Canis lupus familiaris: one gene and its partners. The protein of the gene in region 1 interacts with the protein of each later gene in a pairwise test. Links are inferred from orthologs where the notes say so. Each region holds a gene or a part of one and is shown on either strand. Other genes may lie near its edges.

Evidence for each region.
Region 2: the proteins of REL (region 1) and GLYCTK interact in binary tests that used the Homo sapiens proteins (3 or more experiments, as listed by UniProt). The two-hybrid records come from large-scale screens. The link is inferred for Canis lupus familiaris from reciprocal best matches to the Homo sapiens genes REL and GLYCTK.
Region 3: the proteins of REL (region 1) and ATPAF2 interact in binary tests that used the Homo sapiens proteins (3 or more experiments, as listed by UniProt). The two-hybrid records come from large-scale screens. The link is inferred for Canis lupus familiaris from reciprocal best matches to the Homo sapiens genes REL and ATPAF2.
Region 4: the proteins of REL (region 1) and CGGBP1 interact in binary tests that used the Homo sapiens proteins (3 or more experiments, as listed by UniProt). The link is inferred for Canis lupus familiaris from reciprocal best matches to the Homo sapiens genes REL and CGGBP1.
Region 5: the proteins of REL (region 1) and PIH1D2 interact in binary tests that used the Homo sapiens proteins (3 or more experiments, as listed by UniProt). The two-hybrid records come from large-scale screens. The link is inferred for Canis lupus familiaris from reciprocal best matches to the Homo sapiens genes REL and PIH1D2.
Region 6: the proteins of REL (region 1) and OSTF1 interact in binary tests that used the Homo sapiens proteins (3 or more experiments, as listed by UniProt). The two-hybrid records come from large-scale screens. The link is inferred for Canis lupus familiaris from reciprocal best matches to the Homo sapiens genes REL and OSTF1.
Region 7: the proteins of REL (region 1) and DHPS interact in binary tests that used the Homo sapiens proteins (3 or more experiments, as listed by UniProt). The two-hybrid records come from large-scale screens. The link is inferred for Canis lupus familiaris from reciprocal best matches to the Homo sapiens genes REL and DHPS.

Annotation. Positions count from the first base shown.
Region 1 is NC_049231.1:62,276,094-62,280,307, reverse strand, and holds the start of REL (proto-oncogene c-Rel), read right to left. Parts: upstream 2,801-4,214; 5' UTR 2,594-2,800; coding exon 2,584-2,593; intron 2,468-2,583; exon of another isoform or gene 2,338-2,467; intron 1-2,337. UniProt on the Homo sapiens protein: Proto-oncogene that may play a role in differentiation and lymphopoiesis.
Region 2 is NC_049241.1:37,900,197-37,904,325, forward strand, and holds the start of GLYCTK (glycerate kinase), read right to left. Parts: upstream 2,801-4,129; 5' UTR 2,667-2,800; intron 2,342-2,666; coding exon of another isoform or gene 2,181-2,341; exon of another isoform or gene 1,872-2,180; intron 1-1,871. Other genes in the region: WDR82 (WD repeat-containing protein 82), read left to right, coding at 2,181-2,341.
Region 3 is NC_049226.1:41,700,599-41,704,098, reverse strand, and holds part of ATPAF2 (ATP synthase mitochondrial F1 complex assembly factor 2), read right to left. Parts: intron 1,318-3,500; coding exon 1,273-1,317; intron 1,010-1,272; coding exon 864-1,009; intron 1-863. UniProt on the Homo sapiens protein: Plays a role in the assembly of the F1 component of the mitochondrial ATP synthase (ATPase).
Region 4 is NC_049252.1:521,020-525,313, reverse strand, and holds the start of CGGBP1 (CGG triplet repeat-binding protein 1), read right to left. Parts: upstream 2,801-4,294; 5' UTR 2,630-2,800; intron 2,350-2,629; exon of another isoform or gene 2,203-2,349; intron 2,041-2,202; 5' UTR 1,813-2,040; intron 1-1,812. Other genes in the region: ZNF654 (zinc finger protein 654), read left to right, coding at 3,131-3,319. UniProt on the Homo sapiens protein: Binds to nonmethylated 5'-d(CGG)(n)-3' trinucleotide repeats in the FMR1 promoter. May play a role in regulating FMR1 promoter.
Region 5 is NC_049226.1:21,090,454-21,094,607, reverse strand, and holds the end of PIH1D2 (PIH1 domain-containing protein 2), read right to left. Parts: intron 3,296-4,154; coding exon 3,036-3,295; intron 960-3,035; coding exon 825-959; 3' UTR 501-824; downstream 1-500.
Region 6 is NC_049222.1:83,747,856-83,751,355, forward strand, and holds part of OSTF1 (osteoclast-stimulating factor 1), read right to left. Parts: intron 3,117-3,500; coding exon 3,063-3,116; intron 248-3,062; coding exon 140-247; intron 1-139.
Region 7 is NC_049241.1:49,833,014-49,837,291, reverse strand, and holds the start of DHPS (deoxyhypusine synthase), read right to left. Parts: upstream 2,801-4,278; coding exon 2,594-2,800; exon of another isoform or gene 2,552-2,593; intron 2,494-2,551; exon of another isoform or gene 2,381-2,493; coding exon of another isoform or gene 2,341-2,380; intron 2,255-2,340; exon of another isoform or gene 2,120-2,254; intron 1,985-2,119; coding exon 1,820-1,984; intron 1,585-1,819; coding exon 1,463-1,584; intron 1,380-1,462; coding exon 1,283-1,379; intron 1,208-1,282; coding exon 1,121-1,207; intron 733-1,120; coding exon 627-732; intron 548-626; coding exon 444-547; coding exon of another isoform or gene 426-443; intron 1-425. UniProt on the Homo sapiens protein: Catalyzes the NAD-dependent oxidative cleavage of spermidine and the subsequent transfer of the butylamine moiety of spermidine to the epsilon-amino group of a critical lysine residue of the eIF-5A precursor protein to form the intermediate deoxyhypusine residue.

The DNA of each region.
Region 1 (4,214 bases):
TTTTAAAACATATTTTACCAAAGACAGTACTACTGATTAGTAAACAGAACTATGTGTGCCTAAGAACACTTTGCACTTTGTACTGGCACAAGGACGAGCTTTAATTCAGACATAAAATAGCTAATTTTACTTACATTAAACAATACAGAATTATAAATATAATAGAGTAATGACTGCCTACCCATTCCCTACATGAGACAGGGAACATTTTTGTTAACAATACCTGTTCTAATTAATTGTGTCAAAAGACAGAAATCAAAGTGTTAAAAAAAAAAAAAAAAGGCAGTAAAGAGAGCTTAATAGACCCCGGTCTGTGAAACCCTAAATAATTAATTTGATAATTTACCTAAACAAAATTTAGAATCATACTTACATACATATGATATATACACACATATATATTAAATTTCCAGTTACTCATGATACTTAAATAATTTTGCTAATGAGCCTCTGATCTGTTAACTTTTACATTCTACAGATAACATATTCAGCTACACATACCTATTTACATATGACATCCGGTAAGAAAAGAAGAAATGGTCTTAAGTGCCTGGTAATCAATAAAAATATTTTTTGAGGTTTTAATACTACCTTACTACAAGTAATCTAAGCTAGGCAACGATAACTAATTAAGCAAAGTTTTTTTCCTATTACTCTTTCGGTTTAACTACTGTTTCAAAACAGGAAAAGAATTTATAATTTACTGATGAGTCTTTTTCTCTAAGGCCTTTACAAGTGATTAAAAACAATACACCCAGACTCCTTTTTTAAAATTTCTTTGGCAGTTTTCATACAACTGAATTACAATTTAAATAACTTGTCATATTAAATACTCCCATTCTAATGCAACTCCAGAAAAGGAAAGAAAAAAAAAAAGATAATGATCCTACGACTTTTCATTCCTTTAAATTCTTTCCCCTTCAATTTAGGAAATCAGTCCTCACAATAGCACAAAATACAGTGCCATTCAACAAATTTAAATTGTATCACATCGCTGAATGATGGGGGCGGGGGCGGGTGGGGGGGGTCTTACCTTACCCTCTATGTAAATGGTTCTTTTAAAAGAATCACAGGTATTACACTCGTGCCACATATTAACGAAGTTTGGTTAACTTGCCAGCAGTCAGACTTTTCTTTTCTTTTTTTTTTTACTTATAATGCTCACCGTTCTCTCTGACTCTCATACAAAAAAAATCTCTGTCAACCAATAAATCAGCCAAATATCTCAGATCATCTTTGCCCTCTTCACCCTCTTCATCTCAACGTGCTTTTAAATGATAAATTGACAAAATTATCTGAAAGTTTGGGGTCACTGAAGTGGGTAAAGAGAAAGTTGAAATATTTTAAACTTGTATTCTCACATAAAAACCACAGACAAACCGAAATCAAATGTCATGTGAACCACCCCAATTTCCTTTTCGGCCTGCAGCAGCAGCTAATGGCATTGTTCTGCTCAATCTTCTTTTAAAAAAAAAAAAAAAAAAAAAAAAAGCTTTCTACTTCCTCTTCTCCAGACACCAGCCTCCGAGGGTCACCAAGCCAGGGTCTTGGGAGGGCGCGGAGGAAGCATAAACAAGCCCCCCCCCTTCAGCCTCCTGGCCCAGCGCTGAGCTCTATTGTAAGGCCTCCCTGCCTCGAAACCGCCCCATGAACCTTGCCAGAATCCTCTCCAAGGCCACCTCGAGCAGAGCCCGCTGGATTTACTTCCCTCTAGGTTACAGGCAGATCTAAACCCCGGCTGCATATCATATAATAATAATAATAATAACAATAACAGGAGGCTCCCTCCTCTGCCCTCCAACTTTTTTTTTTCTGGGTAAACTCGTCGTCCACTCCCCCTGCCCCCAAAGCAAGAGATCTACGCATCTATCTATAAACGGAAAATAAATTGTTACCTGAGTGATGCAAAGTTTTCATTGCTAACTCCTATTTGAAAGCCCGGACACTCCCCTGCCTTCCAACGAAGAAATTAAAAAAAAAAAAAAAAAAGATAACGTCTCCGTAAACCAGAAAGTACCCGCTTTAAAGTGGAAATCATCCACTCGGTTGAAACAACCTTTAGGACCAGGTAGGGCACCCCCGGGGGGGGCTCCTAACCGAGCCTCTCGGTGCCACTCGGTGCCACTGTCAGCACATCAGCGATCACCGGCTGGCACTTGATGAAATTGAAAAGAAAGAAAAGAAAGAAGAAGAAAAAAGAAAAGAAAAGAAAAGGAAAAAGAAAAGAAAAGAAGAAATAGAAGAAAAGGCAGAGCACTCCCTCCTGAGGTCTTCACTCCTGTTCTAAGACCTAAAGCCTGAGCAATTCAAATAAAAACCCATTTTGCAATACGTGACCTCTCGGTCCTCCCGGCGTGAGGTTCCCGGTAACTGCTCTGACCCTAAACCATCAGGGCGCCGGGACGCATCCTAACGGCCTCGGGTCACCGCCCGGGACTCGCATCTCGCACGCAAGCCGGGCCGCCCTCCCGAGGCCGACGACGCGCGGGCCGAGGCGACCCAAGGGCAGGGGCGCCCGCGCGCCCCGAGACCGCCGCGCCCCCCGCCGCCCCGAAAGCTCGGACCCGCGCCGCGGACACTCACCCGAGGCCATGGCTCCGCTCGCCGCGCCGCCCGCTCCAAGCGTCCAGACCCGAGGCCGCACGAGCAGCCCGCGTCGGTCCGGCGGCCGAGGGACTCTGCCGGCGGGCCCCCCGGTGCCCCTGACCACCCCCGGGGCCTCCTCCTCCTTCCCGCCCTCCTCGGGGCTTTGCGGCTCACACCCTCCCACCCCCTGAGCGCTCGCGTCCGGGATCGCCGGCTGCGCCCGTCCGGCGTGCGGGAGCCAGGCGCAGGGGGCGGAGCGCCGCGACAGCCGAGCGCCCGCCGCGGCCCGGAGGCTGAGGCCGCCCGGCGGGAGGGGAATTTCCCGCGACTGACGTAGGCCCCCCCGGCCCCCCCGCCCGCCCGCCGCGCGCACGCCCCGCCCCCTCCGCGCGCCCCGCCACGCCCCCTGCGGCCCGGGGGGCTCCGCGACTGGGTCGGGGCCGCGGGGGGAGGCGGGAGCTTCGGGAGCGCGGGGGACGCCGGGAGCCGGGCGGTGACGGTCCCGAGCGTGCGAAAGCCGCCGGCTGCGGAGAAATCCCCCTCCTCCAGGTGGTTCGGAGGCGCGTGGCTTAAAGTTCAGGAGCGGGTGGGAGGGTGCGCTGACGTGCCGGGGGGCCGGCCGCTGGGAGCGGGGGGGCGGGCCGGGCGGCGGGGGGGGCGGCTCTCCCGGGGCGGCGGCGCGGGGGGGCGCGGGGAGGGAGGAGAGCGGGCGCGAGGCGGGGGGGGGGGGGCGGCGGGCCGGGGTTTTCAATGGGTGGTTCCCCCTCTTCCCAATTTCGTACATGCAAATCTCCGCCCCCGCGCCGCGCGGACGTCCCGGTGAGCCCTGGCGGGGAAGTGCGGAAGCCGCGGCGTCGCCTCTGTTCTTCTGTGATGCGCAGATTTGCATTTGGGGACCCCCGCCGCCGGATCGCCCCCCGCCCCCATTCTGCCTCCGCCGGCGGAGGTTCTGTCTGCTTCACCTGCGGCAGCTCTTGAGGCTCTGGAAGAGCCGCCCTGCGAGTTGGGTGCCTCGTACGCGCTGTGCTTGGTGAAGGAGACGCCGTCCGGGATCTGACGGATAGACTCCCACGGGGAAGGGGATAGACTCCCACGGGGAAGGGGGTGGGGAGGGGATAGACTCCCACGGGGAAGGGGGGGGAGGGGGATAGACTCCCACGGGGAAGGGGGTGGGGAGGGGATAGACTCCCACGGGGAAGGGGGTGGGGAGGGGATAGACTCCCACGGGGAAGGGGGGGGGGGGGGATAGACTCCCACGGGGAAGGGGGTGGGGAGGGGATAGACTCCCACGGGGAAGGGGGTGGGGAGGGGATAGACTCCCACGGGGAAGGGGGGAGGGGGATAGACTCCCACGGGGAAGGGGGTGGGGAGGGGATAGACTCCCACGGGGAAGGGGGTGGGGAGGGGATAGACTCCCACGGGGAAGGGGGGAGGGGGATAGACTCCCACGGGGAAGGGGGTGGGGAGGGGATAGACTCCCACGGGGAAGGGGGGAGGGGGATAGACTCCCACGGGGAAAGGGGAGGGGGAGGGCGATAGATTCCCACGGGGAAGGGGGAGGGGGATAGATTCCCACGGGGAAGGGGGTGGGGACGGGGATAGACTCCCACGGGGAAAGGGGTCGGCAG
Region 2 (4,129 bases), on another chromosome or scaffold:
GTTTGGAAAGTTGCCATACATTTGGGTTACGCTCAAACAGGCTTTTGCCAGATCCCAGAACACGCTGTAGCCAGAAGTTCTGCTCTTTGTCAGGAGGCAGTCGCAGCCGAGACTTAGCCAGGATCTTGCCCACTCCCTTCAAAGAACAACTTCTCTTTATGTGTAGGGATCCTGGCTCTCCCTTTACCCAGGGACATCCTTTAGTTCTTTCTAGAAAGACTCATCTGTCCCAGGGTTTCTGTTTTGTTTTTTACCATTCATTATTCAGGTTATACTTGGATCTCTGAATATCACATCTTCCTAATACAGCTGATTTTAATGTTTAAGTCTTTCCTCTTCCTTTTTCTTCCTCTTTAGCCACTGCAGTTTAGTGAAGCAAAATAAACAGGCCTGTCTCCATTGTTAAAGACCCCAGGCAATTAGTCTTTGAAGAGTTGCCCACAAGTTAGAGATCTATGAACTCCCATAGGTTGCACTGAGTTTGACCCCTTGCATAGAAAGTTAAAGCCAAGGTGCCTGGTACCTTTTTTTGTGATCAGATATCACTTTCCTTTGTTAGAGACCAATTTTCCTTCCTTTTAAGGCAATGAATCCTTAAACAAACCACTGAGACAACCCCATTGACTACAAAGAGGGTTATGTAACTGTTTTATATCTTGAATGTGGTGGTGGTTGCACAACTCAATATGGGTGTCAAAACTTATAAATCTATCCATTTAAAAGGTCAGGGTTGTTTGTTTGTTTAAGATTATTTATTTATTCTTGAGAGACACAGAGAAAGGGAGGCAGAGAGACCTAGGCAGAGGGAGAGGGAGAAGCAGGCTCCAAGCAGGGAGCCCGATGTGGGACTTTATCCTGGAACTTTGGGGTCACGCCCTGAGCCCAAGGCAGACGCTCAACTGCTGAGCCACCTAGATGTCCCTAAAAGGCCAGTTTTTTTTTTTACTGCACATAAATGATACCTCGATTAAGAACACCACCGCCAATTCGGTTTACTAACATGGAAAAATGTTTAATATATAATACTGACCTAGGAAAAAAAAGATGGTTGCACTTATAAAGTTCACGTAGAGATGCGAAAAAGGAGGAAATCTGGAGAACTTAAAATTGTATTTTGTTGAATAAGGAGATAAAACTCCATTTAAAAAATTTCCATGCAATTGATGCTATGAGTTCTGAGGCTATAAATGTCTTAAAAAGTGCTTACAAGTGTGTGGAGCTGTACACTTAAAATCCGTTCACTTTATGCACTTCATGTTATGTGTCAATTAAAAAGTTTTTAAGGAAGGCTTAAAGAAAACTTCTGGGTAGGAGTCACACAGGTATATATCCAAATTTTTAAAAAAAGCACTTAAACTTTGTGCAGGCTACTGTATATTACACCTCAAAACAAAACCAAACCAAACCAAACCAAACAACCCACCTGAAACTGAAACTATGCTGGCGCTGTAGTGCACGAGCAGTCAGAGCCCGCCAGCCATAGGTCCACTGACTCACCCCCAGAACAGGCCTCCAGTGGCGCAGCCGACCCCCGCAGTACCTGCTCCCCGTGGCCTGCGGAAGGGGGAGCCTCTAGGGGGGGCTGCGATCCTGGGGAAGGGGGAGCCTCTAAGGGGGACTGCGATCCTGCGCAAAGGCTCACGGCTCCCAGGCACAGCTGCCTCCGGGCCCAGCGGGAAGGCGGTGGACAACCGCGCCCCTCGGGCCCCACTGCGCGCCAGAGAATCGCCGCCTTCGGGCACCCCGCCACTCCACTCCGCTCCTGGGCGGCCGCACTGACGTCACCGCCCCACCGGCCCGCCTCGCGCCCCCGCTCCGCCCCGCCCCCTTTCCCGGCGTGCGCCGCGGTAAGGCTCCTCGCCCTCGGCTTCTGCCTGTCGTCCCAAGATGGCGGACACAATGAGCCGGCGTCGCGCCGGTTGGCCCTGAGGCGACCGTGAGGAGGAACGGTCCGCGAGCCCCCGCAGTCTGGCCCGAAGAGCGTCGCACGTGCAGGAGGAGGAAGGGGAGGAGGTGGGCCGACTGTCGGCTGCCCTTACGCTCGCCGCCGGCGCGGCGCCCGCCCCGCCCGGGTCGGCCCCTCGGCAGGCAGTCAGTCCGCCCGCCCGCTCGCCGCCGGGCCCCGCCCCAGCCCTGCGCCGCCGCCGCCGCCGCCGCCGCCTCCTCCAGCCGCCGCCGCCATGAAGCTGACCGACAGCGTGCTGCGGAGTTTCCGCGTCGCCAAGGTGTTTCGCGAGAACTCGGACAAGATTAACTGCTTCGACTTCAGCCCCAACGGCGAGACGGTCATCTCGAGCAGCGACGACGACTCGATCGTGCTCTACGACTGCCAGGAGGGCAAGTGAGTGCGGCGGTGGCCCTGGGCCCGAGCCCGAGCGTGTCGTCGGCCCGTTCCTCCCTCCCTCCTTCTCTTGGCCCAGCGCTCATCCCGCTGTCCGTCCCCTCCCCCGGCCCCGCCGCCCTCCCCCGGCCTGTTTTGCACTCGCTGCTGTCAGGGCCGCTTCCACTCCGAAGCCGCCCGGGAGACCTTTACTTTTCTTTTAAAAATGAGAGTGGTAAATAATATCCTTATCATTTCGTATGACTTCGGCCTCCTGGAAAAACGCTACTGCCTCGCTCTCCAAACCCCACCTTGACCTTGACCTTTAAACGCCCGGTCCGCCCACCTCGGCCCCGGCAGGCAGCTTTTCCGCTCCTCCGACTCTGTCAAAGGTGCCGGTCAGCTCCGACCCCCGCGCAGAACCGCAGAGGCTGCTCTCCTGCCTCAGTCGGCAGCGTCACAGCTCGCTCTGCCCTCCTCGGTGACCTCGATTCAGCCCTGGCACTCCGCCCATCCCCTGCCCCTCAGCTTCCCGCGGCCTTCTGCCGGAAGGCCGCGTGGGTCGTAGTTCTTAGCTGTCAGGATTTATTTGTTGTGCCTCTTTGGGCCTCCTGTCTTTTCCTTTCTGTTCCAAATCATTCTCTTACTCCCTCAGACCCGATGCCCACGTTTAGTTAACTAATGTAGTTAGTGGTAGTTAACTTTTTAACAACATCAGAAACTTTTCCTTTTTGTCAGGAAAAAAACGAACTTGGCCGTCCCATCCCGACCTGAGTGGGAACCTGCTATGAAAACAAAGAATACATTCTAATCTAACAATTTCATGTTTCCTCTTAGACACTTTTTTAAAAATTACACTTTTTAAGGGTCTGAAATTTGTGTTGCCCCAAGTCCTCTGGAGATCCATTGCACCCCATCTCTGTAAAGTCTTAAAAGCACATTTTGCCCTTTTCTCTGGGCATCTTGTCAGCTTCACCTACCCTTTGTAGACCTGCTTTGCTCTCTCCTTGTTAAATTGTGAGCTCCTTTGGAGCAGAAACTGGTTTAGGCTAGATTTTACTTTCCTCAGCCACCTTCCCCAAGTAGGTTTCCAGGTATTTGGTTTAATTCAGTGGCTACTGGTTTTGTCAGATTTCATTTTGTTACCTGGTTGCAGATCTTAGTTTTTGAGTCCTTGAGGTTTTCTATTCTCCCACTTTCCTTTTGCCTTTTATTTTGTTTTAAAACCAGTGCCTTCTATAAACTTTCGTTTGGAACTTATCTCTTCATTTGTGAATTTGGTTATCTAAAGTAATGCTGGTTTGATTTAAGCTGTATCTTCTCCCCAGTTTTTTTCCCCACGAGAGCTGTGAAAAAGTATTATGTAACTGGTTCTGGATCTGCCTGCAGTATATGGAAGACTGGCCTAAGTGGTGGTCCTGGGGAAAGAGAGAATTGTTAGCTGGACCATTATTCATTTAGTAGATGGATTTCTGTTCAGGTCTGGCCACTTGAATCAGCTTGGAAGAGAGTAACATATAAGTCTGCAGTGAGTGTCAGGGTTGCTGGATTCTGAAGCTAAAAGTAATTTGAAGCTGGCTGACTTAATGTTTAGTGCTTGTGCACAGATTAGAACCTCTTCCTGGAACCTGAGGATGGAGATGTATATTCTCATTCAAAGAAAATAAAGGTTGTGACATGTGACAGCATTTCTTAGTTGTCTTCAAATGTGGCATAATATCTACTCGTTGGAAGCAATGACAATGACTTGGAAGTCCTGTCTTGTTAAAAGTAAAATGCCAAAAAAAAAAAAAAAAAAAAGTAAAATGT
Region 3 (3,500 bases), on another chromosome or scaffold:
TGTCACGCTAATTTCATCAGACAGCCAAAGGAGCAGGCTAGCCCGGTGGCAAGGTATGAAGACGCTGAGGACATCCGCCTGGGTCTGTATGTCAAGGCCAAGCACAGGAATGACCAGGACGACAACTCCGTTTCCAGGGTTGACTGAGTGCTAGCTCTATGCCAAGAACCACGCCAAAGACTTTCCAGGCATCACATTATCCCATCCTGACCACCGTGCTCACCTCTCGCAGATGGAGACACGGGACTGAGAAGGTGACAGTCTGGAGCCTGCAGAGCCTGGACCCGAAGAGTTTAGCCAGCCCCTTCCCCGGCCTGCTTCAGTGCCTCAGTGAGCCACCTGTATGTGGGATGGGGCACCAGCTTCAAGGGCAGCTGTCTCACCTCACCCACCTGGCCCCGTGGGTTCCTGCACTCAACGAATACTGCATGCCATCTGAACCTCGGGCCAGGGCCGGCTATGGACTAGCAAGAGAGATGTGGCCCTGCCCTTCTGTGCTCACAGGGTGGTGGAAGAGACAGACTATGAGCGTGCAAGCATAAAATGGACAAATACAAATTGCATAAGTGCTGGCAAAACAAATGAACAGGTGTCATAAAAGAAAATAAGAGAGCTAGGCGGACAGGGAAGGTGACACCTATCCTGAGACCAGAGGAGGAACCAGCCATCCAGTATGGCGTTCTGAGCAGGGGAACTATGGGGGCCAAGCCAGGAGCGGAATGGACAGCATGTTCAAGGAGGCAAGTATGGCAGGAGTCCACCCCCGAGGGCCTTATCTGAATTTGGAAAGGAGTTGCAATTTTTGCCAGGTACCCTAGGAAGCCAGCGGCAGGCATCGGGGTATAGGTTCATGAACTTGTTACCAGGTGCATGGTGTAGAACTTGATGGTGTCCTGCTGGGAGTCCCATTCAGTGGCCACTGCAATGGCCAGGGCCTCGCTGGGGACAGTAAAGAGCTTGGCTTGGGGAGTTTTCAGCTTCCTGTGGTCCAGGTTTATCTCAAAGCCACCTTGAAAGATCAGATGAAAACCTCTCAGGGATTGTTAAGTGGAATCGAGTGACCATTCCTATATTTAGCTACTTGAATGGGTACAGACAAAGACAACTGTGAGTCCCTTCATGGAGGGCTTACAGAAACCCATCCAACAAAAGCACGAAGGGTAATCTCACCGCTGAAACTGGCTAGAGATGAAAAATGTTTCTATCCATTCACAGAATAAAAAAAAAAAAAGAAAGAAAGAAAAAGAGGCAGTCAAAATTTCAGACACTCACCTTCACCCTGTGTGATGCTGACATTCTGATAAAACCTCTTCCTTTCTGTAAAAGAGATTTTTCAAAAAGGCAGTTTTAAAATAACATCGAGACAGCTCAGGAAATGACAAGACCAGCTTGTGTCATTACTGCTAATGCTGATTGATTGGCTTGATTTTCATATCACTATTCAAGGTCTGCCCTGCTCTACGCAACATCAGCAGCAGCTCCTGATTAAAGCTGAGAGGAGGAGGGCATTTGCTCTCCAGGGATGAGGGGGGCCTGGGACACACTGGTCATGCTCCCGTTGGCCCCGGAGCCCAGGCACAGTCTGATCGCAAAGCATCTGGAAGCTGCAGGCCATCTGACACAACAGATTTTTCTAGCATCTTCTGCATTAACTTCTAAGCAGGCTCCCCACCCATACCACCCCCATCAGCACTGCCCCCACGCCAGTACAACATATGCCAGTTCAAAGATAGTGTCTGAATGTGATAAAGCCAGTGTGGACATGCGTGTACACGTGTGTGGCATACAGGAGGTAAGCAGAGATCCCAGGAGCATCTCTCATCCTCTCTATCCAATTAATTACCCTAATTAGCCAGCATGCCTGTGTATTCAGCAGGAACTCCAAACATTTCCTTTAAGGGGAAAATATGTGTCCTGTGATATCTGAAAATACCCTGACTAAAACCTTAAATGAAAATGGAAACAAATTCCCCCTCTTCTACTTGGAGGGCTTAACACTGAGAGTGCCTCATTAAGAATTATGCAGGTCATAATTATAAAGAACAGGTCACATTTTGAAAGCTAAAGACCATAACCCAGTTATAACATTTGTGATGAACACAAAACCTTGACTCATTCACTTGTTGTTCTGTCACATATTCACTGGGTACTAAAAGCCTTCAGAGTCCCTGATTGAAAGTTACTTGTTGGAAATAATGATGCAACATGAGGAGGAGGAGGAAGAGGAGATTTATTCATTTTTAATGCTTTAAAAAAAGCCCAAAGAACAAAAACCAAGCTTAAGTTAAAATTAATTCAAGCAGACTATGAAAATCAGGAGAACTTTGTTTGTGTGTGGGGGGAAGGCTGGTGGAGGGAGGGCGTCTGGTCTCCAAACGTGGTATTTTTAGGTTTTCCACATCACATCAGTTTTTTTCACCGATCTCATGCTCTGTCATTGATGCTCTCACAAAGAGGACCACAAATTCCATTTCCACAGCTGTGCTTTACTCAACGAAGGCCCAAAGTGCTTTTTGACAAAAAAGTTGCATGTCTACCATGTGCCAGGTACCATTCTAGGTACATGGGATAAAACAGTGAATAAAAATGACAAAAATTGCTGTCTTTATGGAGTTTAAATACTTAAAAAGGTGATAGGATCTGGCCACCAAGATGATGCTGTATTATTATAGTGTGAGTTACTACCTTTATCTGAAATTGTAATAGTGATTCACACATTTGACATCAAAATGGAAACTATGCCACCCTGGTGCTTTCGAATGCCCCTAGTTCACATCTGGAGGCCTCTTGGGTCTGTCTGGAGGCCTTGACTGAGGCACTTAGACGACATCCAGTATGTTCTCCAATGCGTGAACTGGGCAACAGGTCTAAAGCAGGAAGTGGGAAGAGCTCTGAAAGCTGACTCATCATCACTGGGGGAAGGATCTGCTCCCATCAGCAGGAAGTGCCAGTGGAGAGCATTCTAGCACATAGCTCGAAGCAGCCCTGGGAAATGGGCCCAAGAGACCTGGTCTCAGGGCAGAAACTGACAGCACAGGCTGAACCTAAAGATGCCAGAGCAGTGAAGTTTCCCACGAGGAAGGTTTTTTTTTTCTTTCCTCTGCTTTGCTGGCCAGGCCTTGGTTCCTCTGTCCTGGCCAGGTCCCCCTCTGTGTCTGATTAAGAAGAAAATACCGAGGGGCACCTGGGTGGCTCAGTCAGTTAAGTGTCTACCTTCGGCTGAGGTCATGATCTCGGGGTTCTGGAATCAGGCCCTGTGTTGGGCTTCCAGCTCCCCGCCTCTCCCTTTGCCCCCCCACCTCGTGCACTCTCTCAAATAAATAGATAAAATCTTTTAAAAAATTAAGAAGAAAGAACTGGAAGAGAGTGGGAAAGATAGAAGGGAAAGGATGGGTCAACCAAAATTGCTCAAAACAGCAGTAAACCATGCAGAAAGAGAGGAAGCCCCAGGCCAAAGGAGCACAAAAGTTACAGGGCCCCAGAAGAGGGCAGGCCCACAT
Region 4 (4,294 bases), on another chromosome or scaffold:
GATAGTCACACACACAGAGAGAGAGAGAGAGAGAGAGAGAGAGAGAGAGGGGCAGAGACACAGGCAGAGGGAGAAGCAGGCTCCATGCACCGGGAGCCCAACGTGGGATTCGATCCCGGGTCTCCAGGATCGCGCCCTGGGCCAAAGGCAGGCGCCAAACCGCTGCGCCACCCAGGGATCCCGGGTATTAATTATATTAGTCTCATCCAATTTAGATGTGTATTGAAGTTTAAAAGACTCTTTTTTACCTTCACAGTTCTGGGCAACTGATTTTAGGAACACAATTATAGGAAATTATGTTCAAAAATTGCTCAAACAGGTGGGCCAATAAATTGCCCTAATTCTATATGAAGATGGGTATAATGTCCAAAATTGTTCTGAGAAGAAAAAAAGCAAAAACTGAAAAAGAACACAGACCAACTGCAATTAACAGCAGCAACAATGACATAAAATGGTAAAGCCAAGATACAGAGCTCAAAGTAAATAATTTTTTAATGTACATATATGTCTACCGAGTTTTCTAAAGATGATCAAGATATGCAAAGTGCTTTTTCTAACCCCTGTTCCCTCTTTTTTTCCCTTAAAGATGAATGCATTTGTTAATTATTTATTTCACTTATATTATTTCATTTGGTAAGTTAGAACAAATCTAAGAAGGTAACATAGTGCCTAGTATATAAGTCTATAAATCCATTTGTTGACGGAATAAGTAAATGATTTTTTTTGTTATTTTTCCAAGTATTTAACTCAGAAGCAGCTTAATAATTTCTCAATTTACCCTAAAAACATTTTTATGATCTTTGCCAAAATTATGACGTTACATTACGGACACTGAAAACCTGAGATAAAGAACAAATGTTGTCAGTGACAACCATTCGTTCTCTAGAGCCATGCCTTTGGGCTAAGCTCTTACGTTAACCCAAATATAAGAAATTAAAATGAATTTGATAGAATTCAAGATGGAATTCTGTTCTCTATAAACACGTTAGACAAAAATTCTTAAGTGCATTCTGAATAACTATCCTTTAAAAGTGTAACCAGCAATAAGGGAGTATTCCCTTAATCTATATTAGATAATTTATTGTTGGGTTATAGGAATTCTCTCTCAAAAGAATGCTAAATTGCCAATGCGTTAGAAACCCATGGACATAAACTCAAGAGACAAGACATAACGTTTCAGAGAAATTCTGGAAAGTATGATAAAGTTTAGGTTTTAATACATTTAACTGTATCTTCTTCCAATTAACAAATTATTCAATGTTCGACTCTCACGTGCCAAATATTGTGTTAGGCTATAGGTTTTCAATGGCAGAGAAGACAGATATGATTCCTGCCCCCAAATCAGTTACCATTACATATGTTTGTACTTTAAGTCAGTGGTATGTATTTTTTACTCCTCTAACAAATCAGTCAAAATTATGATTAATTTTGTTCTAACCTAGTTATAAAAACATTAAATATCTGTGCTTAGGAACGCCTAAATCTTGTGATGTGACAGTCTTCTGTCTTTTAAAATTTGGATTTCCAACTTTAAAATAAACATGATCAGTATTCTCTGAAGCGTAAAATGCTCTATCATTTGTGCTAATGTGAAAGGCCTATATACATTCCACTGCCTGTAACTTTCAAAAATCTGTTTGTGTTACCGCAGAGGGAAATATCCACCCAGTAGAGGATGCTCGGCTTTACAGAGACCCGAATAACAAAAGTGTTTTCAACAGATTGTAAAGATATTTTAAACGAGGAAGTTAAGCGCAGGAATTAGCCAACAAAAGAGAAGCTGCAAATTTACTAGACCGAAATCAAACTCACAAGTTTTCAAGTTTAAATGTTTACCCGATCAGTTTCCCGTTTTTTTCGTCTTGATATTTAGCAGTGAAGGGTCTCCAGAGTACAACCAGAGACGCTTGAAATCCTGGCACTTTGGTTTGTTCAAATCCGGAGCCGCCTTCAAATCAGTTTTTCAACAAGTGGTGATGGGGAAATAGTTCCTGGGCTTGCACCCTATTTTCCCTGCGGTGCCGGGAAGTCATGCCTTTACTGTAAAACATGAAAAACAAATGGAAAGAAAATATGGGGGAGGGGAGGGAAAGAAGGGGAGATAAAAAGACGAACAAGAACGACGCGGCCACCACGGAGGTGTCCTTAAAACCGCTCTCTTCAGGTGGACTCCACACCACCCATCCGGATCCCAACGTTTACCTCAACGCGGTCCAAGCAGTCCTCTTAGTTGCCCGCCCCCCTTGGCACCTCCTCGCGCGACCCAGGCCCCAGGGTCGGGGGCGGGGGAGAAAGGCGGGGCGCGGGGCGTCCCCGGCGTCTGGACTCCCTCCCCCGCGCCGAGCTCAGCACCCTGGCGCCCACAACCCCGGGCCGCCAGCCGGATGAGGCCGGGACCGAGCCGCGGGCCCGCGAACTCGACAGCAGAGTTGGCGGCAGTCTCAGGAGAGGAGGCGGCAGGCGCCCGGCGGAGGCGTCTGCTGTCAGGCTTCCCGTCTCCTCCCTCTTCCTCCCGCCGACAACGGCGCCCCGGCCCCGCCCCCGGCTCCCGCTTCAGGACCGAAGGCCCCGGGCCCAAACCCCGCACCAACGGCCGGGCCCACCCTCGTTCTCCCTAGCTCCTCGGTACCGTAGGATCGGGGCCGCCGTCAGGGGAAGTGGATGAGACCCGGCCGGAAAGGAAAGGAGGAGGAAGAAAAAAGGAGCACGGGGGTAAGGGAGGCGGAAGACCCGTCGCCGCCGCCGCCGCCGCCGCCGCCGCCCGATCTAGCCCCGCGGCGGCCGCCGTGTCCCCCGCCGCGCCCCGTCCTCTTGCACCGCCTACTGCAAAGCTCGTAGGCGGGCCCCAGCAACCGCCGAGCAGCGCTGACCAACGGACCGAGAGTCTCTCAAACAGACGGTTAATTTGGCCAATGGGAGTTGAAGGGCGGGCATGTGTGTGATTGGCGGCCAGACTTCTCCAATGAGAACTGGGGGCGTGGGTGGGCGGAGCCGGAAGTAGAGACCGCCGAGAGGCCTGTCCGGCTGGGGCGGAGGGAAGGGGGAGGGAACGAGAGGAGGAGGAGGTTAGCCGAGGCAGCTACAGCGGCGGCGGCGTAGGGGCTGGTACGCGCTGGGCGGCGAGAGCCTCATGGCGGAGGAAGAGAGCGATCAAGAGGCCGAACGCCTCGGAGAAGAGCTCGTGGCCATTGTGGAGTCCCCGCCAGGCCCTGTCGGGTTTAGAGCTGCGGGCGACGGCAGAGGTGGCGCTGGCGGCGGCAGCTGCGGGGTCGGCGGCTTTGGGATCAGCAGTCGGGATTACTGCCGACGCTTCTGTCAGGTGAGGCGCCCGTCGGCCGCCTGGACTTGTCACCCGGGTCCTGGGCCTCCCTGCGTCTCCTGGCCTTCTCGTTCTCGAATCAGGGCTGTGTCCGGTGTTCGCTCCCGGAGCCCAACCGGGAGAGAGAGTGAAGATCCCTTCTCCACCTATCCGGCTTGGGGTGGGGGGCAGGGAGCGGGGCTGGGATGACCCGCGGGTTTAGGGTTGCTAGAAAGTGAGAGTTTGTCAGGGGTGGAGAGGTGGCGAGAAGAAGGGTCAGCTGGCAGGAAAGCTGTGTACTGACATTCCTCCTCTGCTCCGAATAGACCCCTTTCCGCCCGAGGGTCCCGCCTTATTGGGTTTCCTACCCTGTTCCTTCTCACTTCGTTTGGAATCTCCGGCAGCATTTCCTGCCTTCCCTCCTCCGCCCCTTGCCCCCCGTATTCTCCCCTTTTTCGGAGATGGGTGGCATGCCATCTCTCTACCGCCCCCTCTCCTGTCATCGCCACCCCTCCCCCTCTGCTTAGGGTCTCCTGTCATCCCCTCTCGGGATCCCACTGGGCCCGTTCTCCAGGTGGCTTAGGAGCTGACCCACTGTTAGTTACTTTGTCGGGAGGTGGAGGTTATGGCAGTGTGATTGTCATTTTTCCTTCTCTTGCGCTGCTTTCCCGACACATGTACTCTCTTTTCTAATGAACTGCTGATAGAGAAAGTAGTTTTCCCTAAAGTGCTGCTCTGGTGACCTCACCACCCCCTTCCATGTTTTAAATTACAATGTATTTTACGCAGCCTGTAAACTGCAGCGTCCGAACGGTGACTGTAAATTATTTACTTGGTCGTCTGCCACTACGATTTATGTACTTTAGAATCTGAATATGATCAAATATTATGGCAACAAAGTGCTTGTCTAGGTGTAAAATTCTTGTAATTTACATTCACATCTACATGTATTTATAGTTTAAACATTTCGTTCTCATTCACAACACAACACTTTTG
Region 5 (4,154 bases), on another chromosome or scaffold:
TGTATTTTGCATCTTCTGAGCAATAAGTTACTTAGGAGCAATAAGCAGTCTAGTTACTGTTACTGCATCACTGTATCCAGCTCACAGACTGATATTTATTTATTTATTTATTTATTTAGATTTTATCCATTTATTCATGAGAGACACAGAGAGAGAAGGCAGAGACACAGGCAGAAGGAGAAGCAGGCTCCATGCCGGGACATGGGACTTGATCCCGGGCCTCCAGGATCACACCTTGGACTGAAGGCAGGCGCTAAACTGCTAAGCCACCAGGGCTGCTCGACAAGTCCATATTTAATATTAAAAGATCTGTCTGGGTAGCTTGGACTCCTCCCACCAGAGCTGTTTCATAGAAGCATATGTTTGCATAGAATTACATTGGCCCTGTAACTGTATAGCCAGAGGAAACTTTCATTGCTTCACATGTACAGTGTGGGATTTATTCCTGATGTAAAACTTTGCTACTGACAACCAAGTAAACCAGAATTTCAACCAGTAAATCAAGAATTTTCACAATTTACTTGGAAACACAAAGAATTTTCCCAAATGACAATTTGTTATTTTAAGAGAAATGGCTTCAAAACCATCTATCATGGCAATACTATTTTAATAGTTTCTGCTTCTAGCCAAGTTTGAGAAGAAGGAAAAAAAGACAAACATAAGTTGATGAGAAAATCTCATTCCATCAAAAAGAACTCTTAGAAAATACTAATGTTTCAGGTAAACCATTACTTCTTCACCCATAATGTCACCCATAATGAAGGTCCTATTATTCACATGTCTTTAGTCAGCACTGAAAACCCAAAGCAGATGATGCTCTTGACTTATACCAATGGCATTGTGATGATTAATGTAGCTTTCTCTTTGATAAATTTGGCTGTAGTCATTTCAGTATTCACAGATTCCGGAAGATTCAGATGTAATCTGTACTTCTCAGAGACCTCAATCAATAAATCATCCTATTTTAAAAGATGAAAAGAGAAAGTATTTCCTGGTTAAAATATGTGTTATTGTGTCATTCCCAGTTATTCACTCCTTTTCCATAAGAGGAGGATCCCACTTACTGCCATGTGACTTGCAATGAGCTGTACAGTTGCTGTTGTAAACTCCCCGAGGTTTTGAGTTTTTTTGTTATTGCTGCTCAATACATCAAAAGTTAACTGATACAGTGCCATAAGTTGGGTGTTGCCATCCTAGGTTATGTGGCATTGACTTTGTGGCTGACCAGCAAACAGTGAGGAAAATTTACTGACAATAGGAAAAATGGTGATCTGCGTTTTATAGTGATAAAACCCTTCGTAAAACTGATAGTTTTATCACAGTAATTTAAAAGACGTACCTTGTTAATTTGTGGCTTGAGGTAAAGAAGTGTGAAAATAGAATGTTGGTTGCATGCATTGTTTCCATTGACTACATTTAATAAACTACTACAAAAAGAGACGAGCTTAGAAAACAATTTCCCAGTTTGCAAGTAGTATTTTTTTTTTGCAAGTAGTATTTAAAGAATACAGAGCCCAGAAATTCTAAGACATCAGGACTGAGAAATGGAACTAATTTTTATTTTAGCCCAGTAAAAAATAAAATTATTTCATAGCAACAAAGACTGATGAAGACAGCCTAGCAGTAAAGATTGAATCACACATCATATATTACACTCTTTGTTAAAACCTCTCACTGGCTTAAGGTGGAGCTCAGTTAATCCTTACATTTGGCTCACAAGACAGCAATTAAGAAAAAAAAAAAGGGAACTGAAAAATGAATGAACATGTCTAATAAAGAATTATGGGGAGTGGCACTGATCGGAATCAAATAAAACACTACCAGCCTAGACTAAAACATTTAAAATGACCTTTCTATGCCCATCATTCCCAAAACATTTAACAGAGTAAACTGCTCAGCATGTAATGGTGGTATACCCTCCAATGTTCTTTTCCGACGTGGCCAGTGTGAGTCAGAAAAAGGGAAACACCATCCAAAGAATGAAGCTGAAAGTCTTGGAAAACAATGGAACTAGGGGGCTAGGTAATCAAGGAATCTTGTAGTGGAACCTAATCAAGAACATCCTCTACCTGCAGGAGAGATACCCTCATAGTATCTGCCTATCAGGATTTCAGAATTGCTGTGCACCAGTAAGCCTCATATTTTCCCCATTTCCAAACTGAGACTGTTAATTATGGTTATCCTCTCTCCATTCCAAATTGTATGGTGCATGGGGCTATGGCAGTAGATTACTTGTCTTTTCAGCTCATAGGTCTGTGTTCAGGAGGAGAATGCAGATTACAATGGCAAAATCCTATAGTTTAGAGTCTGATACTGGGATTAGGGGTAACTTTCTTGGAGAAAGAAGCAAATTTTTGTCATCTTGAGAGTGGACTGTGGCAGATTCTAGGACTTTTGCCAATATTTTGTTCTTTTTGTGTTAGAGGGGTATACATTCCTGCCATTTGAAGTCAATGACTACCTGTAAGAATATTCTTCCCAGGGGATCCCTGGGTGGCTCAGCGGTTTGGCGCCTGCCTTTGGCCCAGGGCGCGATCCTGGAGTCCCAGGATCGAGTCCCACATCGGGCTCCTGGCATGGAGCCTGCTTCTCCCTCCTCCTCGGCCTCTCTCTCTCCCTATGTCTATCATAAATAAATAAATAAATAATAATAAATAAATAAATAAATAAATAAATAAATATTTAAAAAAAAGAATATTCTTCCCAGCCCTATTGATGGAGGATTTAGCCTTATGCCTTAGCTTTAGACAACAGAATGTGAGTAAAAGTGACATATACTATGTCTGAGAGAAAGTTTAGGATCTATTGCATGGCTTGGCCATTTGTTTTCCTCTTCCATGAGAATGGCATATCTCAAATGGGAATTCCTCCTCCACCTGTATCTTAAAATGTGCAAGAATCCTGGAACAGAGCAGGTCTACCTGACATGTAACCTGAGCAAACTGGTATAAACCACTGAGATTGTGGAGTTTGTTACTACAGCATAATATATTGTGTTGACTGATACAATTTATGGTATTACTTATTCGACTTACCTCAGAAACACTAAGGTCACAGAGAGACACTGAATTAATACCAGGTAATTCAACTTTTATTTCAATTTTCTGAGGTTTCTCCTTCTGGTCAGCCACAATTTTTAATTCATAGGTTGGTTCCTTCATCTCTACCTGGATCTCTGTACTGGAAATCTCCTCAATCAGACATCTTTTTTTGCTTGAAACTTCGCCTTTTGGCAATAAAAGTTGAAAGTGATCTGGATTGCTCAGAGTACTACTTATCTCTTCAAAGGTTAGTTCTTATAGAAAAAAAGGGTGAGATTAAATCATAAGATTAATCAACAACATAAAATATTATCAGGCTATGAACTGTAATAGATGTGGTGTTAGCCAAAATGGCAAATAAAACTGAAACTAAATTCATTTAGGAATCTTAAAAGAATCTTGGGATGCCTGCGTGGCTCAGTGGTTGAGCATCTGCCTTTGGCTCAGGGCATGATCCTGGAGTCCTGGGATCGAGTCCTGCATTGGGCTCCTGGTGGGGAGCCTGCTTCTCCCTCTACCTATGTCTCTGCCTCTCTCTCTGTCTCTCATGAATGGATAAAACCTTAAACAAAAAAATCTTAAACCCAGGGCACCTGGGTAGATCAGTCAGTTAAGCATCTGACTCTTTTTTTTTTATTTTAAAAAATATTTTATTTATTTATTCATGAGAGACACACAGAGGCAGAGATACAGGCAGAGAGAGAAGCAGGCTTCATGCGGGGGGCCCAATGTGGGACTTGATCCTGAGACTCCAGGATCACACCCTGGGCTGAAGGCAGATGCTCAACTGCTGAGCCACCCAGGGATCCCCCAAAGCATCCGACTCTTGATTTCATTCAGGTCGTGATCTCAGGGTTGTGAGATTGAGCCCCGAGTTGGGCTCTATGCTCAGTGGGGAGTCTGCTTGAGATTCTCTCTCTGTCTCCTCTCTCTCCCTCTGCACCCCCCCAAATAAATAAAATCTTAAATAATCTTAAAGAGCTGGGTTAAAAAGTTTGCAGGATTTAAAAATGTTTAAGGACATGTTAATATTTCTAACATCTAATCTTTATATTTTTCTATCTTAAGTTTCTCATCTTTTAAAATCAAGATTTTTGGTTTGCAAAATGTACA
Region 6 (3,500 bases), on another chromosome or scaffold:
CAGGAACCAGGCTTTTGGACAATGTTCTAAAGGATTTAAGCAGAATAATTTTTTTTCATTTCCGTAACTCCAGCTCCTCTGCGTGAAGCACATTTTCAGTAGCGTGGACACTGATGAGATAGCAAACAGAAGGCAGTACCTTTATGCCCCCCATGGCAGGCCCAGTACAGGGCAGTACTTCCAGCTTTGTCTAAGCCATTAACGCCGACTCGGTTGTCCAGACATTCTCTCAACCAGCTCAGGTTGCCTGAAAACATCATGCATTTATAAGAACACAAGAAAAAGGGCTTGGGTTTTTTTTGTTGTTGTTGTTTTGGTTTTGCTTTTAAATCAATTTCACCCTCCATAAATTTCCATCTAGAATGGATTAGTCAGCAAGTCTGAAATTAAGACCTACCCAATAATGCATTCATTATGGTACATTTTCACTTCCAGTTTATTAATGAAAAGCATTAACAACAACTTGAAGTGGGGGTGGAGGAGGCCGGTGGAGGGGAAGAATTATTTGTCACAGTTCTGGCAAGTCCAGAATCAAGGCGCCAGCAAGATTCAATGTCTGGTAAGAGCCTGCTTCCCAGTTCACAGACACTGTTTCCACCCCCTGGACAGAAAGAGCAGGAGAGCTCTCCCGGGTCTTTACTGGTTCTATTCATGAGGGCAGAGCCCTCATAAGCTAATCACCTCCAAACACCACTGATCTGGGGTTAGCTTTCAACATCTGAACCTTGAGCAGACGGAAACATTCAGTCTATGGTATCCACGGCCTGGCCCACATACAGCTGATCACTGTGTATGTCACTGACGAGATACAAGTAAGCTCTGTGGCTTGTACAACATCAGTCTCTAACGGTCAGTTAAAGGGAAGAGTTGCCTAAATGAGCCTACTTATGGTTGTCTTACTCTGTAAAATGCACATACATGGAACTTTTTCCTTTGTGAAATCCTGGAAATTAGGGAAAAAAGAGTCAAACCTAAGAACAGGTAGATACTACTCATTTTCATATTAAAATGTATTCTCAGATCTTATAAGAAAATAAGGAAATAAACACTAAATAACCTCCTCATATGTTAAAATATAACTACCAATTTAAAACCCTCTGGCTAATGTCTAAATATCTAGTTCACAAATCACTTTGCTTTTTAGTTTCAAGTCTTTATTTAAATTCCAGTTATTTAACATACAGAAAAATATTAGTTTTTTAAATGTCAGCTTAGTAGTTCTACTTATGCACAATTCTCAACCAGTAGTTTCCTTTTGCACATTCATGTTTCAAAAAGATCTGGAATAGAATGAAAGAAACCTCCTTGAGGCCTTATAAAAACTCCCTGTGTCCATAGTAGGGTTTCTCAACAGCAGCCCTACTGGCAGCAGCAGGGCTGGAGAATTCTTTGTTGCGGGGCAGACCTGGGTACCATTGTATGTCCCCAGCATTTACAACCCAAAAGGTGCCAGTAGCATCCCCAAGTCATGACAGTCAAAGTGTCTCCAGGCATTGCCAAATATCCGAGGGTTTGAAGGAGGAATTACCCCCAGTGGAAAACCACTAATGTACAGGATAAAGTCCCATGTACAAGGCCGGTCCCTGTTGCTCTCTCCCTCCACAGTTTCACCCGCACCCCACTCACTTGCATTACTACAACAGTCTCCTAAATGCTACAACCACAAGAAGCCTCCACCCGCCTGCCTTCCAGTTCCTCATTGCGGCCTCTACAGCCTGCTTAACTTAAATATACTTCAGTTGCTGTTCTTCTGACACCATCCTGTAATGATCTGTTACACACATCTCTCCCCCACCAGACTTGGAGCTCGGGGAGTCACAGACAGCACCTTTCCACCTGCCACTGAGCACGGGTTAAGTAGAGAACTCAAAAGTGTTGGTGGCTGACATTTCAAAAATGAAAATCAGGGCAGCCCGGGTGGCTCAGCAGTTTAGTGCCGCCTTCAATCCAGGGTGTGATCCTGGAGACCATGGGTGAGTCCCACGTCGGGCTCCCTGCATGAAGCCTGTTTCTCACTTTGCCTGTATCTCTGCCTCTTTCTCTCTCTCTCTCTCTCTCTCTCTCTCTCTCTGTTTCTCATGAATAAATAAAATCTTTAGGAATCCCTGGGTGGCGCAGCGGTTTGGCGCCTGCCTTTGGCCCAGGGTGCGATCCTGGAGACCCGGGATCGAATCCCACGTCGGGCGCCCGGTGCATGGAGCCTGCTTCTCCCTCTGCCTATGTCTCTGCCTCTCTCTCTCTCTCTCATTCTGTGTGACTATCATAAATAATAAATAAATAAATAAATAAATAAATAAATAAATAAATAAATAAATAAAGTAAAATCTTTTTTAAAAAAAATGAAAATCATGGGGGTATGGCCTCGCTGGCTCATTGGACTGACTCTTGATCTCAGGGTTGTGCTTTCAAGACCCACACTGTGTTGAGATTACTGAAGGAAATTTTTTTTAATTTTATTTTTTAAAAATATTTTATTTATTCATTCATGAGACACACACAGAGAGGCAGAGACACAGGCAGAGGGGGAGGCAGGCTCCCTGCCGGGAGCCTGATGCACACTCAATCCCAGAACCCCGGATCACGACCCTGAGCTCAAGCAGATGCTCAACCGCTGAGCCACCCGGGTGCTCCCCACCCCCCAATTTTTTAAATAACATTTTATCTCTCTAGGGTGATAGAAGGCAGAATAGAGATTGCCTCTCAGACTCCTAACTCTGGGAAACGAACAAGGGGTGGTAGAAGGGGAGGTGGGTGGGGGGTTGGGGTGAGTGGGTGACAGGCACTGAGGGGGGCACTTGACGGGATGAGCATTGGGTATTATGCTGTATGTTGGCAAATCAAACTCCAATAAAAAAAAAAAAGAGAGAGAGAGACTGCCTCTCAGGCGGGGGTGTTTACCAGGAAATGGGAACTTCCTGGGACGACAGAAATGTGCTAGATCTTGATTGCGGTGTCCGCTACGTGGGTATATATATACACGGATCAAAAGTCATCAAACTGTGTAATCAGAATCTGTGTGCTCAACTCCACTGTGTCCCTCAATGAAACACAACCACACCTACCTCTTTTTGCAGCTTCATGCAATGGATTGTCGATGGATTCCGCCTGCTCGGCCACTAGATTGAAAACAAAAAGAGCGAACCCGATGTTGAGAAGGACCCGAAGGACCCGCTGCAGCCACTCCGCGGTCCCCGGCTCCCAGGGTGCCAGGGCCTCCCGTCACAGAGCATCCCTTTTAAGTGGATCCGAGAAAATAGAAGAAAATCAAACTAACGTTTTCTGCTTTAAAAGGAGCTGAATTATTTGCGAAAGAAAACCAAGCTAAGCAATAAGGCAACACCACAGCAATGAACTGGAAGTATAAACAAAAACCAAACGCAGTAATTAACTGGAAGTATAAGCAAAAACAAACATCCATGGCCTACATACCGGTACAGCCAAGTGTGTCATAAACTTAGTCACAAAAATGCAAAAGAAAACATTTGATGCTCATTTTTACA
Region 7 (4,278 bases), on another chromosome or scaffold:
TATAGAGGCCAGGGTGCACCTATAAGCACCCAACTGGCAGCCCTAGAGGCCAGGCTCCTGCTGCTAATTGTCTCGGTCCCCTTCACTGGCCTGCTAACTGTCCCTTGATTTAATTCAGGCACCTCAGAGCCTTTGCACTGGCTGTTTTCTGTTTACAGGCTGTCTTTCCCAGAACTTCCCTTTTCTGAACAGCACTCCTTTCTTTTTCTCTTGCACTTGTCATCCCTCATTTTTTTTCCCACAGCAGCTAACTGCCCCGTGACATGCACATCACTTGCTTGCCACCTATCTCCCTGACTAGAACATCAGTCCAGGAGGACAGGGATCCTGGCCTATCTAGTCTACAGTTGTTGCCCTGGCACATGGCGTAGGCTTAGCACAGGTCTGTATGGCAAGCCCGAGTGCCACCCTCACTAGGAACCGGCTACTGTGTCCCCACTCACCATGAGGTTGGCATTGGCGATGTGGTGCTTGACCACACCCCCGCCCAGGATGATCATCCCAGTGCGCTTGGCAAAGATGGCCTGTGTGTTGATGAGTCGCAGGTCTGGGAGAAGAGCATTGTGGTCAGGCAGTGGACACAGCCACCCTACCTCCCCTGCTCCTCTGTGGCCCTAGCACCTCACCCTCAACAATGTCCAGGACCAGGCCTGGGTTCTTGTAGGAATGGAAGAAGATCATGTCGCCCAAGGAGCCATCTGTGAGCGCTGGGCTCAACACGGGGATGTGGTTCTAGGGAACAGCAAGATGAGAGCAACAAGCTCAGAGCCCAGCAGAGGCAGACTGGCCCCCATCCCAGTGGCATCCCCTCCTCTCTGCCTGATTCTAGGCAGGATGCTTACTAAGTTCTCTAGGCCTTAGCTTCTTCAACTGTAAAATGGAGACTGCAACAGCATCTCCATCACAGATGAAGCATATGTGATGAAACCAGACAAAACCAGTGGAGAATGGTAGCTCTCATTACTCCCACTGCTGGACCGCAGCGTCAGACAAACTAACATCTGTGTTGGCTTCCTCACCTAAGAGTGGAGATGATGAAATGGTTCTCCAGGTGGCTATGAAGGTGAAACAAGCTAACATGTGCCAAGGCCTGGTACCCTTGCCCTACCTAGTCCCTCACCTTCTGGGCCCAGTAATACACTGATTCTGGGTTGTTGATCTCCTTGCCCAGTCGGGCAATCATCTTGGAAGGTGTCCACTTCACACCCTAGGAGGAGACATTGACTTCAGCCAGCAGGGCCGCCTCAGTTCCACACCGACCCCCAGGGTGCTCCTGCCCCACCTCTGTGTTCTGCTCCAGCACCATTTGGTCCAGAATGGGCATCAACCAGTCCTCAAACTTGCAGTAATTGTCATTGGGCACCAGTAGGTTTCCAATCCTGCGGAACATGAGGCATGTGGGCATCGGGCCCCAGGATCCTCAGCCCAGCTCCCTTGCCCAGCATCACTCAGGGCCCCGAACCTGTTGATCCCGTTCTCACGTAGCTCCTTCCCCCTGAGACTGAAATCGCCCAGGTACGTGGGTGCCAGGCACTTGATAAAATCTTCCTCCACACCGCCAGCTGTGGTCACTAAGACGTCCACCTGCAGCCACAAATCAGGTTGGCCCAGGAAGAGGGGCCCTGCCGTCATGCCAGGTAGGGCTCCTCATTCCCAACACTAATCCAGTGACCCTTGGGAAAATCTCTACTGCAAAATAAAAGTAGATCCTGTTCCTCCGCTTAAAACAATCCTGTCTCCCTGTCATTTAAGTGGCCAATAATTTTTATTGCCCATAAGACCTAGAGAGGCCAAGTCCACAACCCCGCCAGGTACCCACCATGTTGTGCTGCACGAGGTAACGGATGGTCTCACGGATGCCTGAACTGATGAGATTGGATGTGTAGCCCAGAAAAATGGTGCAGCCAGTAAGTGGGCGGCGGCTCTGGGTCAGGTCTGCATGCTGGTCTTCATCCTGCGACAGCGGCTCTAGTTTCTTCTCTATCTAGGTGTAAGGGCAGAGTCAAGTTACCCTCTGGCCCCAAACTCTAGCCCGAGGGCTCCAAGTGGGTTTCAGGATCAGACTCCAGCCCCGGGGCCTGCCCACTCAGGAATAAGGAAACACTTCTACTTGGAATACCTGAAGCCAAGGAACGAACGCCCCCTGCGCAGGCTCGGCCCCATTCACCGCCCAAATCTCAAGGCACGCGCTCAGGTTTTATTCCCCTTTCAAGGAACTGGAGAGCACTACCTCTGCAGGCCTGGTCACTTTCCCCTTTGGAAAAAGCAAATCTGAGCCCAGACCCCGCCCTGACTGAGGCTCCTCCTCAACCGCACCGTTCAGAACACTTCACTCCTTACCTACAACCCGCCTCCTATCTAGCATCAGTCCCAACCTCATCCTGATGGTAGGATGCTATGGAGATGGGGAGGCACAAGGTCCTCTCCCCAGCACGGAAACCGCTGCCCAGAATGGACCCTGCCTCTCTCCACCTATTGGGCCGCCCGACAAAGGGCACGCCTCCTTCTCAAGGGAGCCCCGCCCCCCAGTACCGCATTGCCGCTACTGGAGGCCACACCCCCTCAACCCAGGAAGTTCCGCCCCAGGCTTCACCATGGCGTTGACTTGCTGCACTGCGCGCCCGAAGTTGGTGGCCTGGAAGCCAGTGGTGCCGAAGGCCTCCAGTAGCGCACGGTAGTCCACGCCGCGGCTGAAGTCGTAGCCTCGGACTTGGGAGCTCTCGGAGGGCAGCGCCGAGCTATGCTTCAGCACAGCGGCCAGCGCCGCCGCGGGTGCCTTCCCTTCCGGAAGACCCTCCATGCTCCCGCGGCCGCACTCTCAGATCACAGCCGCCCAGACCAGGCCTCCAGCGGCCTCGAAACGCACTAAGCCCCGGCACGCGCTTCTATATGACAGTGCAGGAAGTAGGGCTCTGGAAAACCTGCAGAAGGGGACGGGAAGTTGCTCAGTCACGTGACTCTTTGAGCCCCACAATCCAGGGCGCGGCCATGTTTGCGCATGCGTTTCCGTAATATGGAAGCCGCGAGGAGCCGTTATTGCCTGTTTCGCGTCTTGTCAGCCCGAGATGAATGAAGAGTCCTGCTTTCACTGCCGCCTGCTGGAGACCCACCGCGTTGCGCGGCGCTTTCCCATTCGTTTCTGTCCCTTTGGGAAGGAGGATGGCTTCTTAGACGTCGCCCTAGGACAGGATTCGAGTCATCAGGAAATGTCAGATAATTTCTGGCCCTGAGCGTCTCTCATCAAATGGTGTAGTGATCGCTGTCCGTACCAGAGCCTCCACATGCTGCGTAACCCTCTGGTCTTCCCCTGGTAGTTGCGGCCGTCACTTCTGGGAAGCCTTCCCTGACCGTCCTCTGGGTAAGGGACCTCCTCTGGGATCCAGGGCTGACCTCTCTTTCCCTCCAGCAAGACTGTGAGACCCTCGAAGGTGAGGTCTGTATCTCATGGGTCCTCCTAGCCCTGCATAGGGTTTGGTCCAGGGGGAATCTTTTAACCAGGCACTTTATAATTTATGGAGTCTATACCATACGTTGGGCTCTGTGTTTGGCGACTCAGATTTATCAGTGAACAAGATGCAGACCCTGCCCTCCTGGAGTCCATAGTTTGATTGGGGAGCTAGTAAAGCTAACCACAATAGTGATTAGTGCTATTGAGGATTCAAACATGATGTGTTTTTGAGGTAGGGGTGGTTGAAGGGGTTGATGGCCTTATTTGCAGGGACAGGTGGTTAGGGAAGGACACCAAGGAGGTGACATTTGAGCCAAGGCCAGAAAGCCAAGAAAGGCCCCATATGTGCAGATTTGGGGAGGCCTTTCCCCCACCATCCCCCAATGGGAAAGAGAACTGCCAGTGCAAAAGTCCTGAGGTCAGAGATTAGCCCACTTAACTGGAGGAAGAGAACATCCTCCCTGACATTTTTGACAGTCCCCACTTGGATCTCAAACTCACCACCTCAGCTCCCACTCCACTTAACGCTGATCTCCCTGCAGTCTTCCACATCTCATCAAAAAGCCCTCAACTCAGCAAATAAGCCCTCCATGCACCTAGTAGACCCAACACTGGAGAACTGAGCTTGACCTCTCTCCTTTGTTCTCACCCATCCCTCAGCACCTCCGCCAAGTTCTGCCCACAAAATAGGTCCCAATTCCAGGTGCCTTTTTATTATTATTGAGATAAAATTAACATATTCTATTAGTTTTAGATGTACAACATTCTGATTGGGTATTTGTATCCAGATGCTTCTCTCCATTCTCTCAGCCTCCACGCTGGGCTACCTT